Linked DNA regions of Drosophila melanogaster. The protein of the gene in region 1 interacts with the protein of each later gene in a pairwise test. Each region holds a gene or a part of one and is shown in the gene's direction. Other genes may lie near its edges.

Evidence for each region.
Region 2: the proteins of fan (region 1) and saturn interact in a two-hybrid assay, tested with the Drosophila melanogaster proteins (one large-scale study listed by BioGRID).

Annotation. Positions count from the first base shown.
Region 1 is NT_037436.4:8,104,954-8,112,756, forward strand, and holds fan (farinelli), read left to right. Parts: upstream 1-4,178; 5' UTR 4,179-4,324; coding exon 4,325-4,981; 3' UTR 4,982-5,090; downstream 5,091-7,803. Other genes in the region: Sarm (sterile alpha and armadillo motif), read left to right, coding at 1-106, 174-343, 487-704, 1,063-1,996, 3,686-3,770; Nulp1 (nuclear localized protein 1), read left to right, coding at 5,546-5,701, 5,777-6,153, 6,225-7,091, 7,159-7,485, 7,541-7,761.
Region 2 is NT_037436.4:14,200,134-14,207,747, forward strand, and holds saturn (saturn), read left to right. Parts: upstream 1-3,189; 5' UTR 3,190-3,300; coding exon 3,301-3,519; intron 3,520-3,578; coding exon 3,579-4,076; 3' UTR 4,077-4,161; downstream 4,162-7,614.

The DNA of each region.
Region 1 (7,803 bases):
CCTATTGAACAGTATTCGACAGGCAAAGAACTTTGTCTTAGTATTAACTCCCGATGCCCTGCACCGCTGCATTAACGACGAGGACTGCAAGGACTGGGTGCATCGCGTGAGTACCGCATTTGCCGATCGACCTTTAACCAATAGGTACTCATAAGGGGATACTCGTTTCGCAGGAAATCGTGGCTGCCCTGAACTCGAACTGCAACATTATACCCATCATAGACCAGCAATTCGATTGGCCCGAGGTGGAGCGACTTCCCGAGGACATGCGCAGTGTGGCCCATTTTAACGGTGTTAATTGGATCCACGACTACCAGGACGCATGCATCGATAAGCTCGAAAGGTACATTAAGCGACGCATTTAGATCTGGATTAGCCTGGGACTAGGACGATGGATAACTCCATTACCGATTACCTTAAGCCTGAATAACCCAGAATACTTCACAACTAAACACTTAAACGATTCCCATTCTTCTGATGCGGCAGATTTTTGCGCGGCGAAAAGAATATCGATCGCATTGCGGCGATGGTGCCCGGCACCCCCGGTTCGGTCTCATACCAAAGAATGCACAGCAACGACTCCGACTACCAGAGCGGAGGAGCAGGCGCCGGATCAGGAGCAGGAACTGGAGGAGGAGGTGGTGGCGGCGTTACGGGCAGTGTGGTGGATGGCCTGATGGTGGCGGCCAATGGCAGCGGACAAGGTGGGCCAACGAGTACTACATCTACTACTTCTTCTACTCCCAACTCAAATTCAAGCTCAAGCTCTAACCAGAGTCCCCCAGCGGCTCCAGCGTAGAGTGAGCCAAGTTATGCTAACGATTTACAGAGCTAGCCAACTCGAATATGTTCTAGGCTTAAGCAGAGATCCTCAAGTCACACTCTCTAGTACAACTCTCTCTCACTTTCTACCCCCACCCATACACCTACTACTTTCTCACTCAACTCAAGCAACCCATTACAACTACACTATCCATTACTCTTTACTCTTACCAATTAATAATTGATTTAATTCTGATTGCCACACACTCGAAATCGCTTGAAACGCCGTCTCATGCGCAGCTAATCACCAGGCAAATAGGTACCGCCAATCTCCCTCACCGGCCCGCCAAAGGGGCAGCACCTCGCAGTTGAGTGGTTATTCTCGGGCGCCCTCGAAACGCTCCCAAATCCTCACCCCGTATCGCACCCAACAGGCAGCCCTGCTCCACAAAACCGGAGCGGGTTCCGCGTCCATGCAGAATATGATGCCATTGGCGTATCTGCCTCCGCGGAGGAGTTCCGCCGCGGGATTAGGTCATGGATCTGGTTCCGGCATGGGCAGTGGCTATCGATCGCACAGTGTGGATGGGCTTCTAGATCAGGCGGGCTCAACTCCAGAGCAAAGAATAGCAGCAGCTGCGGCCAAGGTGACAGCGGGTAGTACAGCTCTAACGAACGCCAGTTCCACAAGCACTCTGCAGCCCGAAGAAGAGGTGACGGATGCCGCCCTCAATGACTCGGTGACCCGGCGTGACAAGCATACTTTATCCCCACCGGGAAATGTACAGCAGCACAGAAAGTCCCGAAGTCTGGATCATATTCTCAGCAAACAGACTTTAGCAGAGCTGCTTCCACCGAGTAGCGAACTCGCAGATGGAACGCAAAGTATGCAAAACCTGGCCATTCCAATGACCCCGCAGCCCCAACGAAGGGACACCAGCTCCTCCTCGAAATCCCCCACTCCCGAAAGACCTCCGCAACCAGCGATGGAAAGGGTAAGGGAACGCCAGAGTCCTGAGGGTGTGAGTGCGACGGAAAGCGAGCGGGAGGATCAGCCAGAAGAATGTCTGCGACATGGCAACCAACAGAGGGCATCTGCCTCGGTTCATCGGGGAGCCAGTTTGACCAGCAACAAGACCTCCAACTCCTCACTGGGCTCCAACTTTAGTGCCGGAGGAAACAACAAGACGATATTTAATCGAACGATGAAGAAGGTCCGCTCGCTGATAAAAAAGTAAGCCATAACGAGGAGGCAGAGAGACGAGATGGACCGGGACTCGATGTCCCCACTCGTCGCTCGTCACTCGCTATCTGCTCAATATTACTGTTATCCATCATTTCACGATCTGATTTCACCACTAAGTTTCTTCATCTAAATTTAACTGGTAACGCTTCGGATAAAAGATTTCAGATGTTACTTCGAAAGAAATCAGATTGTGAAAAGGTGCTTCTAGTTACTCGCCAATCGCCCACTAAGTGCCTGTTAACCCGTTTCTCGCCACTCGCTGCATTTGTGCCATCTAAAAAGAATCTCATCCAATCACGCATTCATCCACCCCCTGGGGACCCTTACAACCTTTCTACCTCCACTCGCTGACTCTACTTCTCTTTCTCTGGTGTTGGTACTCGTTCGCTATTTTTACTCGCCACTCGTTGACTCGTTTCGCTAAGCATCCACTAAAACTCGCCTGCGTTGCCCAAAAAATATATACGAACGCCCCTCCCCCGCCAATTTCTATATCTTCAAACTCTATTTGCCTTGTGATTAGTTGTTGATTTTGATAATTATTTTTTTATTGAAAAATAAGTAAGCGAATTTAAATTGCGAAAACTAATTTATGAAAAGAAAAATACAATTAACGACTGCATAAATACGAAACCTAATTTATAGAACACAAAACAGAAACCATCTAATTCTAAACACTACAAGAAACAAAAATATATTGGAGAGCGAAAACACTCTATATTTAAAATGCTATTTATAAATAATATGTTTAAAAATTTGTACATTTTTCGCGAATGCAACATGTTCTTGTAACCGTCCGCAAAACGTAAACTAAAAATTGCAAAATTTAAAATTAACCCGTGTGGCTTAAAACGAAAATATTTACATAAGTGATATTTAAACTACGTATAATCGAAATTTACTTAATGCAAAATTTTTACAACAAAACATGCTGTACAAACCTAATTTTTAGCGCAGGAGTTTTTAAGGCATATTTTTATTGATTTTTGCAATATATATTTAATATTTAAATAGTGCCTAAAGTTAAATACGAAAGCCGAAAAAATCGAAATACATACAAAAAAAAAAGGAAATAAAATGTGACTTAATTCAAACTAAATGTGTATTATTGGCCCTATTTAGCCCTGTTCCCCTGCTTAATCAGTCCATACTATATCATCAATCGCATGTACCGATATTATACGTTTTGTTCAATGTTTGTATTGCGTTCTGCATTTGAATTTGTGTTTGTGCCTTTAATGGAATTCGAAATGTTTTATTTGTATATATCTTATCACTTTTATTTCTTCCCTCTTTCTTTCTCTATATCCGGACTTTTTTGTAGACCATAAAAGCGAAATTGGCTACCGCAATCCGTTGTAACTGTTGTTATCGTTGTGCCTGTTGTACTGCCCCCGCCCACAAAAGCACCCACCCACCAAATCGAATCGATTTCGATTTCGAAAAACCCATCATCGCACACCGTGAGATTAATACGATGCCTACACTCAGCATCCGCCGTCTCGACAACCAACATTCATTGTTATTTATTACCAAGCAAGCAACAAAAAAAAGAAAGAAAGCAATCAAAGCAAATAGCGATACCAATAAACGTGTATATAATTGCATAAATCGAAAGAGTCCTGTCAAACATTTTTTAATTTGTATCTTACCCATACCTCCTCCCACTCGAAACAGCAACGAAATGGAGGACGAGGAACTTTCGGGCATCATTCTGTCCAAGGCCACCTCCCCCAATGCCGGGCGCATGATATTTTGGTAAATGATGGACCATCCCCCACCTGACACACATTCAGTCACACAAACGTATCGAATTTTTGTAAATATTTAATAAAACAAAAAACAAATAAAACGAACGATCTGAAACTCGAAATCATGTTGTTATCTAAACATCTTGAACTTACAAATACAAAAAACTACAATTTGCAAAAGTTCTAAAAAGTTTTTGAACATTATTTAAAGACAGGTTTGTATATAATTTATGAAATTAGCCTAAAATATAGCTTTTAAGACATTCCTTTAAGCAACATAAGCTAATAGCTGCAATCTATAATAGTGATGCTGCGCATATGACTTTCAAAACCGACCAGTGTGTCCACACCAGAAAAGTTGAATTCATACGAAATCAAGCAATATGTGAACTCAATTCAGCCCTGAAATGGAAAGTTTCACATTCCTTTTTCTGTCATTTGCACTACGGCATTGTCAGGGAACGTGTTCATTTGGTACCACATTTTTTCATATATTGGTCATAATCGGTTCCAGTTCATATCGCTTCCGATTTTTTGAAAAATAAAAAGGTACAAATATTCCAATATGTCCGACAATACCGAGAGCAAACTTGCGCTAGACCCGTGCGATGTGATCGTCTTTGAGGGACCATTCAACCGCTCGGTGAGCAGGAAGCTAGTCATCAAGAACACCAGTAAGACCCAGCGAATGGCCTTCAAGATGAAGACCACCACTCCAAAACTTTTTTATGTACGCCCCAACATCGGTGTCTTGGGGCCCGAGCAGAAGGTCAGCGTTGACATATTCATGCAGCCAATTCTGCAGGAGCAGATAAAGAAGCGTCATAAGTTCCTTCTCCTGGCCGCCGAGGTGACTGGTGACATAAGCGATGTGCAGGAGTTTTGGAAGATGCAGAACCCGAATGAAACTCGGGAAACCAAGATCAAATGTGAGCTAGTCCCTTCGAAGGAGGACGATTTCCGTCAGGCGGGAGGTTCAGCTGTAATATCCACGGACAACAAGGACGGAGAGGTCCATTTTGATGCCCAGGAAGTCAGTGAGCCAATGGCCAAGTTGCTCAAGCAAGTCAGCATGCTGGAGGACGAGCATATGGCCCTCACAGACCAGATCGACGGCTTGCGTGACCAGGCGATTGGGCGCACTTTCTTCTACATGGCCGCCATAGTAATCATTATACTGTCCGCTGTCGCAGGCGCCTATTATGGCAAGACTCGTTTGTAAATTCCTTATCATGGCAGTTTTTAGAACATAAGGCAGTAAATTGCACCGAAATTGTACGAAAATTATTTGTCAATAAAGGACATTTTGGTTGCATATTCTATTTTGAGATAGATAATTAGTTTATGCTTGTATACCAATAAATGCGTAAGATGTTATATTCTCACTTTACTAGAAGTAAATAAGTTTAAAATAGGAAATGTCGAATAAAAATAAATTTTTTCAAAACAATTTAAAATGCTTTTTCCTATTTCACTTTATGAAGAGACAAAAAGTAAACTTATTAAAATTTCTGTGAATAACACGTCAAGTTTGATCCAACTTCTACAGGCAAGGCGTATAGGTGTATAGCACTTGCTAAAATTTAGAACTTCTTTTTCAATTCCCGCCAAGACGGGACCACCTGTCTAGGCCAGTGCTGTGAAGCGCGCGTGGCCACAGAGCTCGGCAACCCTGCAGCCGTGCGAAAGCGAATGTGGTGAAGAAAAAAAAAACAGCGAAATACACACGTATTTTGCGACGAAATTAAATAGAATTCCTGCTAAGGGGTATAAGGACACTTGAAGGATGTCTGCGCGAATGCTGAAGAAGCTGCAGGGCGACGCTGACAAGCTGGCGCCACCGCCCGATGACGAGGACTGCGAGGAGCTGAGCGACAATGATGAACTGGAGGACAGCGATATGCAACGCTATCGAAAATCACACCTTAATCCATTCGATTTGGTAGGCCGCTATTAAAAAATAGCCAGCTCATCACCGAATGAACTGCATAATCCTCCGTTCCCACAAATTTTCTAGCTCAATCAAGCCGGTTTGAGTCTCTCGGAGAGTGAGTTCAAAGAAGATGACAATGAAACGGAGCATCCGTCTGCTGCCCTGCCCAATGCTACTGCCAGTGCGGCCAAAAAGAAGAAAAAGAAGCGCAAGAAGAAGGCCAAGTCCAGTGGGAATCACATCAGCAGCGAAGATAACGAGCGTCAGGATAAGTACTTTGAGAAGGTGGATCCGCTCCTTGGCAAGGTCTACGATGCGGTGCCCAGACAGTCGGCGAAACAGTTGGTATCGGCTGCCACCGGGACTACTGCCACCAAGAAACTGCTGGCCGTAGAGCTACGGCACCTGAATCCACAGAACGAGATGCGTCGCACTTTTGGCAAGCGGGTGGTAAAAGTGGAGTAAGTTTGGAGTGCCTGGGCTAAGAACTTCCATTCTGAAACTTAACTCTTGCAATCAAACTTTCTTTCAGAACCAAGCGTGGCAGGCAGAAGCCCACGCTGAAGTCCACCTATATGGTGACCGCCAAGGATTCGTGGCCGGCACTGACTAAAAACACCATCACGATGAAGCTGCTGCCCGCCCCAGACTCTCCATCGGTGTCCTCCAAGTCTATCACAGATAATGGAGCGGACGTTCAATGGTTTGCCTTTGAGCATAGCCAATACTACCAGGGAGTGCAGCAAATGTTCCTTTCTGCTCTCGAGCGCATTGACTCGGAATTTCTGATCACACTTATCAAACGCTGCCCCTATCATGTCGACTCCTTGGTTCAACTCAGCGAAGTATGCAAGATGACCGAAGACTTTTCCTTGGCCTCCGAACTGCTTGAGCGCGCCCTTCTCCTTCTGGAATCGTCGCTGCACATCAACTTCAGTTTGACGTCGGGCAACTGCCGACTGGACTACCGGAGACAGGAAAACCGATCCTTCTACATCGTGCTGTTCAAGCACGCGCAGTACCTGGAGGAACGAGCTTGCAGCCGCACCGCCTTCGAGATCTCCAAACTGCTCCTGAGTCTTCAGCCAGACACAGATCCTCTTGCCATGATTCTAGTGATTGACTACTATGCCTTGCGCAGCAAGCAGTTTGAATGGTTGGTAGAGTTCTATGAAAAGTATAACGCCGCGAGGAACCTCAATCAGCTGCCCAATATGGCCTACTCGTATGCTTTGGCTCTACACACGCTCTATGGCGCTTGTGAACGCTCTAACCAGGCACTGCAATACGCCCTACTAATGTTCCCGGGTGTTTTACGTCCTCTTTTGGACGAGATGTCGGTGCAAACGGACAAGAGGGTCCTGGCCTCATCGTACTTCTTTGCAGATGTGTCGGGCAAGTAAGTGGAGTCTTATCTCCGTGAATGATTAGTGGTATGGAATTTAATGTCTTATCTTGTTTACCAGTCAATCGCCCGCCCTGCACCAGCTGGTGTGCCTGTATGTGTGCCGTGCAAGAGTCGTTTGGCGTCAGAACGAGGTGCTACCCTGGTTGGAATCCAACGTGAACATAGTGTTAGATCGCATTGAGAGTAAGGATCCCCTGGTTAATGAGTACAAGGAGAAGCGATCACTGCGATATAGTGGAACACCACCAAGGCCCATTCTTCGACATGTCATACTCTCCGATTACAAGGAGAAAGTTCCACTGGCGGTCTTCGTGTCCAAGGAGAAGCAAGCCATTATGACCTATGATCCACTGCCGCCACCGAACAGCGTCAACTGCTATCATCGGTATGTCGTTCGAATCGGCTCAAAGTTAGTAAATTCTAAAAACCAGTACTTGCAGAAAATCTTCGTCAAGCAGCAGCCCCACAACGAACACGAACAATTCTGTGTCAATGTTCTTTCAATCGCTCTTGCCTTCGTTTAACATTAACAACCTAGCTGCAAATGCTCAGCTACAAGAAGGAGCAGCACCAGCAGCAGGTGCGGGAGCAGCTGCAGGCGATGCTAACATTGAAGTGGGCATTGAACAAGGAGCTGCCGGCGTAGCTGGCGAAGGAGAAGGTTCGTATGAGCATTATTAAAAATATCTTGAGATAAAACCGA
Region 2 (7,614 bases), 6.1 Mb from region 1:
CTTACTAACGAAATTATGTTTTAAACTTCAGCAGGCGTTGCCAAATCTCAGTGTTCTTCCCTTTCGGATGGCGAATCCTTTGAGGGATATGGCGAAAATGAGTATCCCACCCAACTTCGCGAAGCCCGCAGCTCCAATTCCAATGGGAGCCATAATATGAGCAATCATATTAACAATAATTCTAATATCAGCGTGGGCAACAACAGTGGACACAACCACAGTGGACACTCGAACGATGGAAATAACAACCTAAATGGCAGCACTGGCGTCGAACTCGATTTGGCTCCACACGTCGGCTCATCAACACCTCAAGAGTAAGTTTTTGAAACATTTATATAGTGCGTTTCAAAAGTGTCATATCCATTTAACATTGCGATAAATTCAAAATATATACTTATGTATATGAACACAGTTGTTCTATAAACTGTTAATGAATTTATTGCATATAAATATGTAACTCCTGTAAAGCAAAGAACATTAGTCTTGCGGAATTACCTCTTGATTACTGTCAATTAATCTTTTAAACTAACTGACACTGAAACGCCTTGTGTATTTCCATTGTCACAACTGATGAGCATTTACTAACTCGATTTCGATTGTTGCAGTGATGACGAACTAAACATAATGCCCCGGGATAATTGGGCCAGGCGCAGTCTGCGACGAACTCCCACCAGGTAATCTCGCCCATTTTGATCGGATCACATCTCTTAAAATGGCAATCGAAGCGAATGCGAATTTGCTTAGTTGTCGGGCATTTATAAGGTTGCGCACATAATCCAGCTGAATACGTAATAGCCGTGAATATAAAATAAAGCTGACCAGGCCCAGAGACTTCATCAATTCAAAACTCTCAATTTGTCTGTCCGAGGCAGCATAAAAAAAGCGTATTTGAATAGTTAACCTTTTCTTTGTGTAAACCTGTGTCTGTTGGTTTCAACGCATGTATGTGTGGCATGAAAAATGCATACACAGACTGAAACCAGTTTTTTCTATGCTCTGACTTGGGCTCATGAATCGCTTTGGGCCGTGATTCATGCGTGTCTCTGTCTTCGGGTCTCGGAATCTCTCACAACTCAGCGATCGTGCCTCTCTTTCTGGTCGTGTTCCGCCGTCTCTTTTACTCTATTTCCGCCTTTGTTCAACAAGTTGCCATAGCCGTGGTGAATTCACAGTTCAACTGATCGTAAGAGAGTGCAACAATTCTCTTAAATTATACAGTGATGAGTGTTACCTAGTTATAGCTAGAATAAATCATTTATTTAAATAACAATTTTATATAATTATATTGGCAATTTTAAATAATTCTAAATAACTGCCTATATAAATATTTGGAAAATTAGGCGTAAATTTCATTCTATATATGAACTTATATAAAAGAAAATAAGATGATTAGAAAGATTGCTATATTGCTATGTTTCTATTGCGGTTAAAACTGAACCGAATAAGACTATTATTAGATATCCCAATTGATAAAAATTTTTCTTACAGCAATCCTGATAGTTTATCCCAGCGTCGTTGGGGATCCATGAGACAGTAAGCACCCTTGAATATAATTTCTTTCGGGGTTTCATGTAGAGCTTCATATAAATCATAACCCCCATTCTTGCTCCATTTTGGTTTTGGTTTTTTGATTTGTAAATAAAAATATTTATAATTTATCTTAATTAAAAAAATTATTGGTGCACTGCTCCTTAAAAAATATATATATATAGTTTTTAATTCAGTATTTGTCCTCATCACATTTGATGTTTTCACAAGCGTTTCCATGACTTCGCTTATCTAAGATTGTTAATTTCAGCTATAAGTTGCCTTTGGTTTTTTTCCCAATTTTCCATTAGCTGGTTTGCTCAATTGCTTGTTTTTCTTCTGCCTAAATTAGTTATCAGTTTTTCCCATCTTATTCGCCTGTTTCAATTGTTGTACAACTACATAGATGTTCAATTGGGCAATTTTCAAGAGCTTTCCTAACGCTGCCACCCCCAAAAACTAAAATTTATGATTATTGCCGGCGGGGGAGGCTGTCATAAAAGTTACAACCGAAAAAAAAATTGCTCTCTTTTCTGGGACTTAATTGCAACTGAAACCAAAACGAAAGTAAAATAAATATATCAGATTAACAGCATGAGATTTATGTTAGTACAATGAGAGAGCTCCAAGATGGAATCTGCTGCAATTTATATAACTTCCTTTGGCAGTTCTGCTTGTCAACTGGCGACCGTGCTTCCTGCTGCCATCTTCTTGAGCCAAAAGTAGTTTGGCCGCTTTTGTGAACTTTTCTCGGGGACCGAGCGAAAAGGTTGAAGGTAGAAGATGCGGGTCTTTTCTTGTCTCCCCTCAATTTAGCCAACTCCTTCCCTCTTGATGTGGCTTACAAGTTGGCTGACTCGATGGGGTTGTCATGCTGTTGGAATTTATTTTTTCGCTCATCCGATCGGAGGAAGTGAAGTGAGAGGGTTCCAGAAACAGGTTTAACTTGCCGCAATTGTTAACTCTTCAGAATTTAGGCCGGCACTTTTGTCAAGTCGCGAACAAAATTTGACCCAAAATAAAACTCAGTCTGCTGATGTTATCGATTCTGACACATTTATCTCGTATCGTTATGTACTGTTATATACTTTTGATCATTTTGATCATTAAACTAAGGCTGTAATAGTTAGATCATTACTAGAGCATCGATCAATATCGATTAGCATTTCAATTATTAAACAAATTTTTTTCATAAACATTTCTTCGAAAATTATGCACGAAATCGGATAAAGTAATTAAAATCGTCTGCATTTAAGGCGTGTGCAAATCAGTTAACCCCACGCAGGCTATAAATTGTGGTTGCTCTGTCAACTTTCCGGACCTTGATGTTCTTCCCATGGCTTCTACTCTTTTCGAAGCAACTACAACTTGGGCCGACTTGAATTTGTCATGCAAATGCCTTTGTTTTTGCTCCGCTGCTGGGAACATGTTTTTCCCACTCTCTGCACTTGGCATTCAAAAAAGCTGCACTGGGAAATGGTGGGGGAAAATGCATTAAAGAACCGAGAACAATTAGGGAAAATTGTGGGAAGAGGTTAAAGATTTTTATCTGAAAAAGGAAAGGGAATGAGTGGAATTCTACAATTATTTTCTTTAAAAGAACGAATATTTTTCCACATAGGAACATTTTAAATGTTGTCATTTGAATTCAGTCTAGCAAGCAAAGAAAATACTTTTCAAATCACATTATAAAAGTGATAACATCACCGGTTGGTTATCCGTTTTAATACAACCTAAATTACAGATAGAAACTAACAAAAAGTCAGGCCCAAAATGTGGAACTATCGTCAGAAAGTTGATTTGGAAACATCGGTAAAGATATCGCCGTATTGCAATTCTTGGCCATCGGCTTGTTGGTTTACTCTTAAAGGCATTGATTTGTTGAAACTTCTGGTATTGGAAAGATCACCAACTTACCTGGTGATTCTTACGATTGTCCTTATCGTACTCCTCTTACTTGTATTTAAAAGATTCAAACACAAATGGAACGATGTAAGTTAAAGGGGGGGGAAAACGTACAGTAGAAGGGGCTTAATAGGGTTTTGTTCTAGGTGCCTATGTCGGAGATTGAGTCACTGAGAAAACGTGTTAAGTTTGTAACCAAGGATATGGCCATGCTGCAAGAAGCCCTAAATTCGACCGTAATACCCAAGCCGCCGCTAGCGATTTCTGATGATATTAGGAGTAATATTAATTACTTGGATGAACCAGAGTCCAACGCAAATGATGACAAACTTTCAGAATTTAAAGAAATCTTTGATCCTTTCCCCCCAGAATTCGACAAAATTAGTGAAACTAAAGCGCTAGTACGAGAAGAAAATAAACCGGAGCCTGTGATTCCAGACGCCGAACCTCGAGAAGATTCCGTAGTAAAAAATAGGGTGCGATTTGCTCTAACAGATCAGGGAAAACCAGCCAAAGATGAGACCAAGCACATTAATATAGCGAAACCCACGAAGATTATAGCTGAAAATAATGTATCCGTGGAAAATAGAAATATGCGTAAACGGTCATCTCCTTCAAACACGAAAACGGGATGGAAGCTCTAGATCTATTTTCAGGAATTTTCATATTGAAATTTCATTAAAATTGTAGTGCTCGAATTTGTAATAAACCATTCATAGTGATTTGTATAAAACTTGTTGTGATCGTAATTCATTATAGCCCTATGCCAACCTTGACATCTTGCCTTCGCAAGCGTTTTGGCTTTAAGTGATTTCCAATTGTCTTTCGTGGTAATTTTCACCTATTTCATTGTGTATCTCTGTTTTCCCGTGCATAGTTCCCAAGTCTACGTGGTTGGCCCTCAATTAGCCTTAAAGGTGGCCGGCTGCCTAATCGAGGCAGTTTCCAAGCCACTTTGCGGGGGCCCAACATTGTTTGGCAGTTGGCTTGCATTTCTTGGCTATTTGGCAGACCTGGCGACAATTTCCCGTTTTTTTCCCCCTGCATGTATTTGAATTATTTGGCAGCTGAAAACGGCTTGAAAGTACGTCTGTCGCCAATTTGGCTTCGGTTTTAGGTAATTGCCATCTATCTAATAGGTACATGAGAATGTTTATTGTTGGCCAGATTTGTAGATGTTGCATAGTTTTAGTTTTTAGTATCGCCGAACAACATGTTGGCAGCAAACAAGTTGCATGGGAAAGTGTATGGGATTGTAAAAGAGTTGCCAGATAAAAAAGAAAAACAGTACCATCATCAAAGACCTTTCAACATTACTAATGAGACTATAAATGTTGACTTAGGTGGCAACAAAGAATAGTAAATTAAATATTTAACAGTATTGAAATGTTATCTTAAAATATTATTTTTTAGTATATTATTTTAAGAAAAGAATATATTTATTGATATATGTGAAATCGTATTATTGAATGCTGAAAGAAGAGGAATTTGAATGAAGATGATTAGAATTAGAAATTATGTTATTAAATATATAAATTATAAATATTCTACCATTTTCTCTTAGGAATAAGCAAATATATTTCTCCATTTTCATTATAATTATATTTTTTTATGTCACAAATGATTGACATTTGTAAGTTCACACTCGCTGTGTAATTATTTTAGTCTGTCTGGCAAGTTCGAACTGCAACAATGGTTTTAGCCCTCTCCCACACACACTTGTTCGCTCTTTTGGCCTGCTTTTCCGTTTTGTTTATTATTTGGCTAGTTGGCTCTCTCGCATCGAACCTGTTTGCTGGTCGCCTTTAGATTGGAGCAGGCGGCTCAAAAGTCGGAATGTGGTATTCGGTTTTAGTTCGAACATCGCTGTAACCGCGTGCGGATGTCAGGAAATTTGTGTCGTCCTTTTTTGGCCTGATTTGATTATTTATTAATCGCCCGAGAGTCTGTGACTTGTGTTCCGGTGTAAAACCGAATAAAAATCATACAAAATTCCGCCGCATCCATTGAGAAAACCAAAGTATGTGAAAGTGTGTGTGTGTGTGTGTGGCATTTGTTTATATACAAATGTGTATATAGCATACATATGATTTTTGGGCGCACCAGACAACGCGGCGTATGCGAAACGTTTGTGCAAATAGATTTAATTGTGTTTTTTTTTGTCGGTTTTGTTTTTGGCTATAAATTTCGCTTTCCACGGAATAGAAAACGTTTTTAATTCGAGCTGCGCGCTTTTATGAGATTTCGTACATAGTTTTGTGCTGTAGTTTACACTTTGGTAATTTACGGCGTCACGCCTTAATGACGTCCAACTACCATCATAATAGCCACAATAACAAGCGCAGTCTTTGGCTATATACTGCACATTCCCATGCAAAATCGGAGGGTCTTCGCCGTCTTCTCGTGCGTTGTCCTCATCTCCATCTTCTTCGACATGTGTGTCTCGTCTTTTGCACGTGACTTTTCCCGGGGTTTCCACGGGCCCACGCCCTTTTGTGCTGCACTTTTCCCATGCATTCATCCAGATTAAGGCCCATTTGTACACAGACGGGTAAAAAAAGAGGTTGTTCAGAATGTATTAAAGTGTAGGGTTTGATACACAGGTGGTATTCCAATTCGAATAGACTTTCATTCATTTCTGAAAGTGCTTTATAAATAAACTATTACATGAATTAAAATAACGATTTTTATCTTATTTTGAGTGTACTACCAAAACAGTTCTTATTGAAAATCCAATTATTTGTTAACCACAAAGTTTTCCACGAAAAAAGAATAAAAAACCTCCAAGAGCGTGTTTGATAATTCCTAAAGCATACTAAAATATTGATAAACAACTCAGAACTGGTGTTAGTTATGTTGGATCATTTGAATTTTAAATTGTGAGAAAGTTATTAAAATATTGCATACACAAGTTAATGTTTAAAGCTGCGTATTCTTTTACAAAATAAATAACATTTTAAAGTAATTTGAACTTTAGCTTTCTAATAAAGTATATGTTTTAATCATTTCCTTTAACATTACACACTTATTTCAACACCTTTTATAAGCAGTAACGACATGGCCAATCAACCGAATCTCTAGATTGCGTTTAGATCTAAAAGAGTAATCGACTTTTTAAAGTGCTTTCGTTTCCATCTATTGCCACACTCATCGCATCATCTTCAACTGGGCTCTATAGCGTTTCATCCCTTTTCTACACTCGCATTGTCGAGAGTCATCAATCAAAATCGAATCAGTTTTATATCGCCTTAATTATCCGAAGAGCAGCCATATAAATGCTGCCCGTTCGCGGCTGTACGATTTCATTGTTAGTTGGTCAGTGCAGTCGAGAGTGCAGTTTGGCTGCAATTTTCTTTCTTTTCGATTTTTGAGTTTGTGTTCGTTTTCGATTTCGCTGGCAGAGAGCGTTTAACGACGTTATCAGAGCGATTTCCAGCAGCGTGTTGGCTAAATATTAACCATCTCATCCGCTCATCGAGTGCAAAAATTGCGGCTTGGCTTGGATGTTCGGCTTGAGAAGACTCGTAATGAAAAGTGAAGTGTGGCTGGCGGATCCGTCAATTGCGAAAGTGTGTCTAATTTGCCGATGATGAGTGCGAGTGCGTTTTCTCGAATGAAAATTTCCTTTTTGTGGCAAATAACGAGCTAACAATTTGCTGAACGGCTCATAAACCAAATCAAAAGTGAAGTTAATGGAGGTGCAAACATCTGGTGCACCAGTGTAAATAGTCATACATCGTGGAGGGTCTTGGAAAAATGTTAAATTCACCAGATTTTTGCACGTTTTACATACAAGTTCCTAATTGATTTACCAACTTTGTATTGCCTTTAATCATAAAGAGCTGTTAATATTGTTGTAACACACAAATAAAATAAGCAAAGGAATTCAAGCTTTTAATCTTATCAAAAAGATAATAAAGTTTACGTTATCGGTTTAAATCAACATATTAATGTCAATGACGTTCACAATGCGGCCAATGGCATTTAAAACTGATAACCAAGTGAGCTAACCCAACGATCAAAGATAAACATCTAAATAAACAATTCAGTTAACGAAAACAGATCTCACCTAAATGGATGATGAATATTTTGAGTATTTTCCCTATGACCGCCGTCGCAGTCATTTGAGAGACATGTGCGTATTAAACCCCTTACTAGAATTCGAAATCCTTCACCAACTTG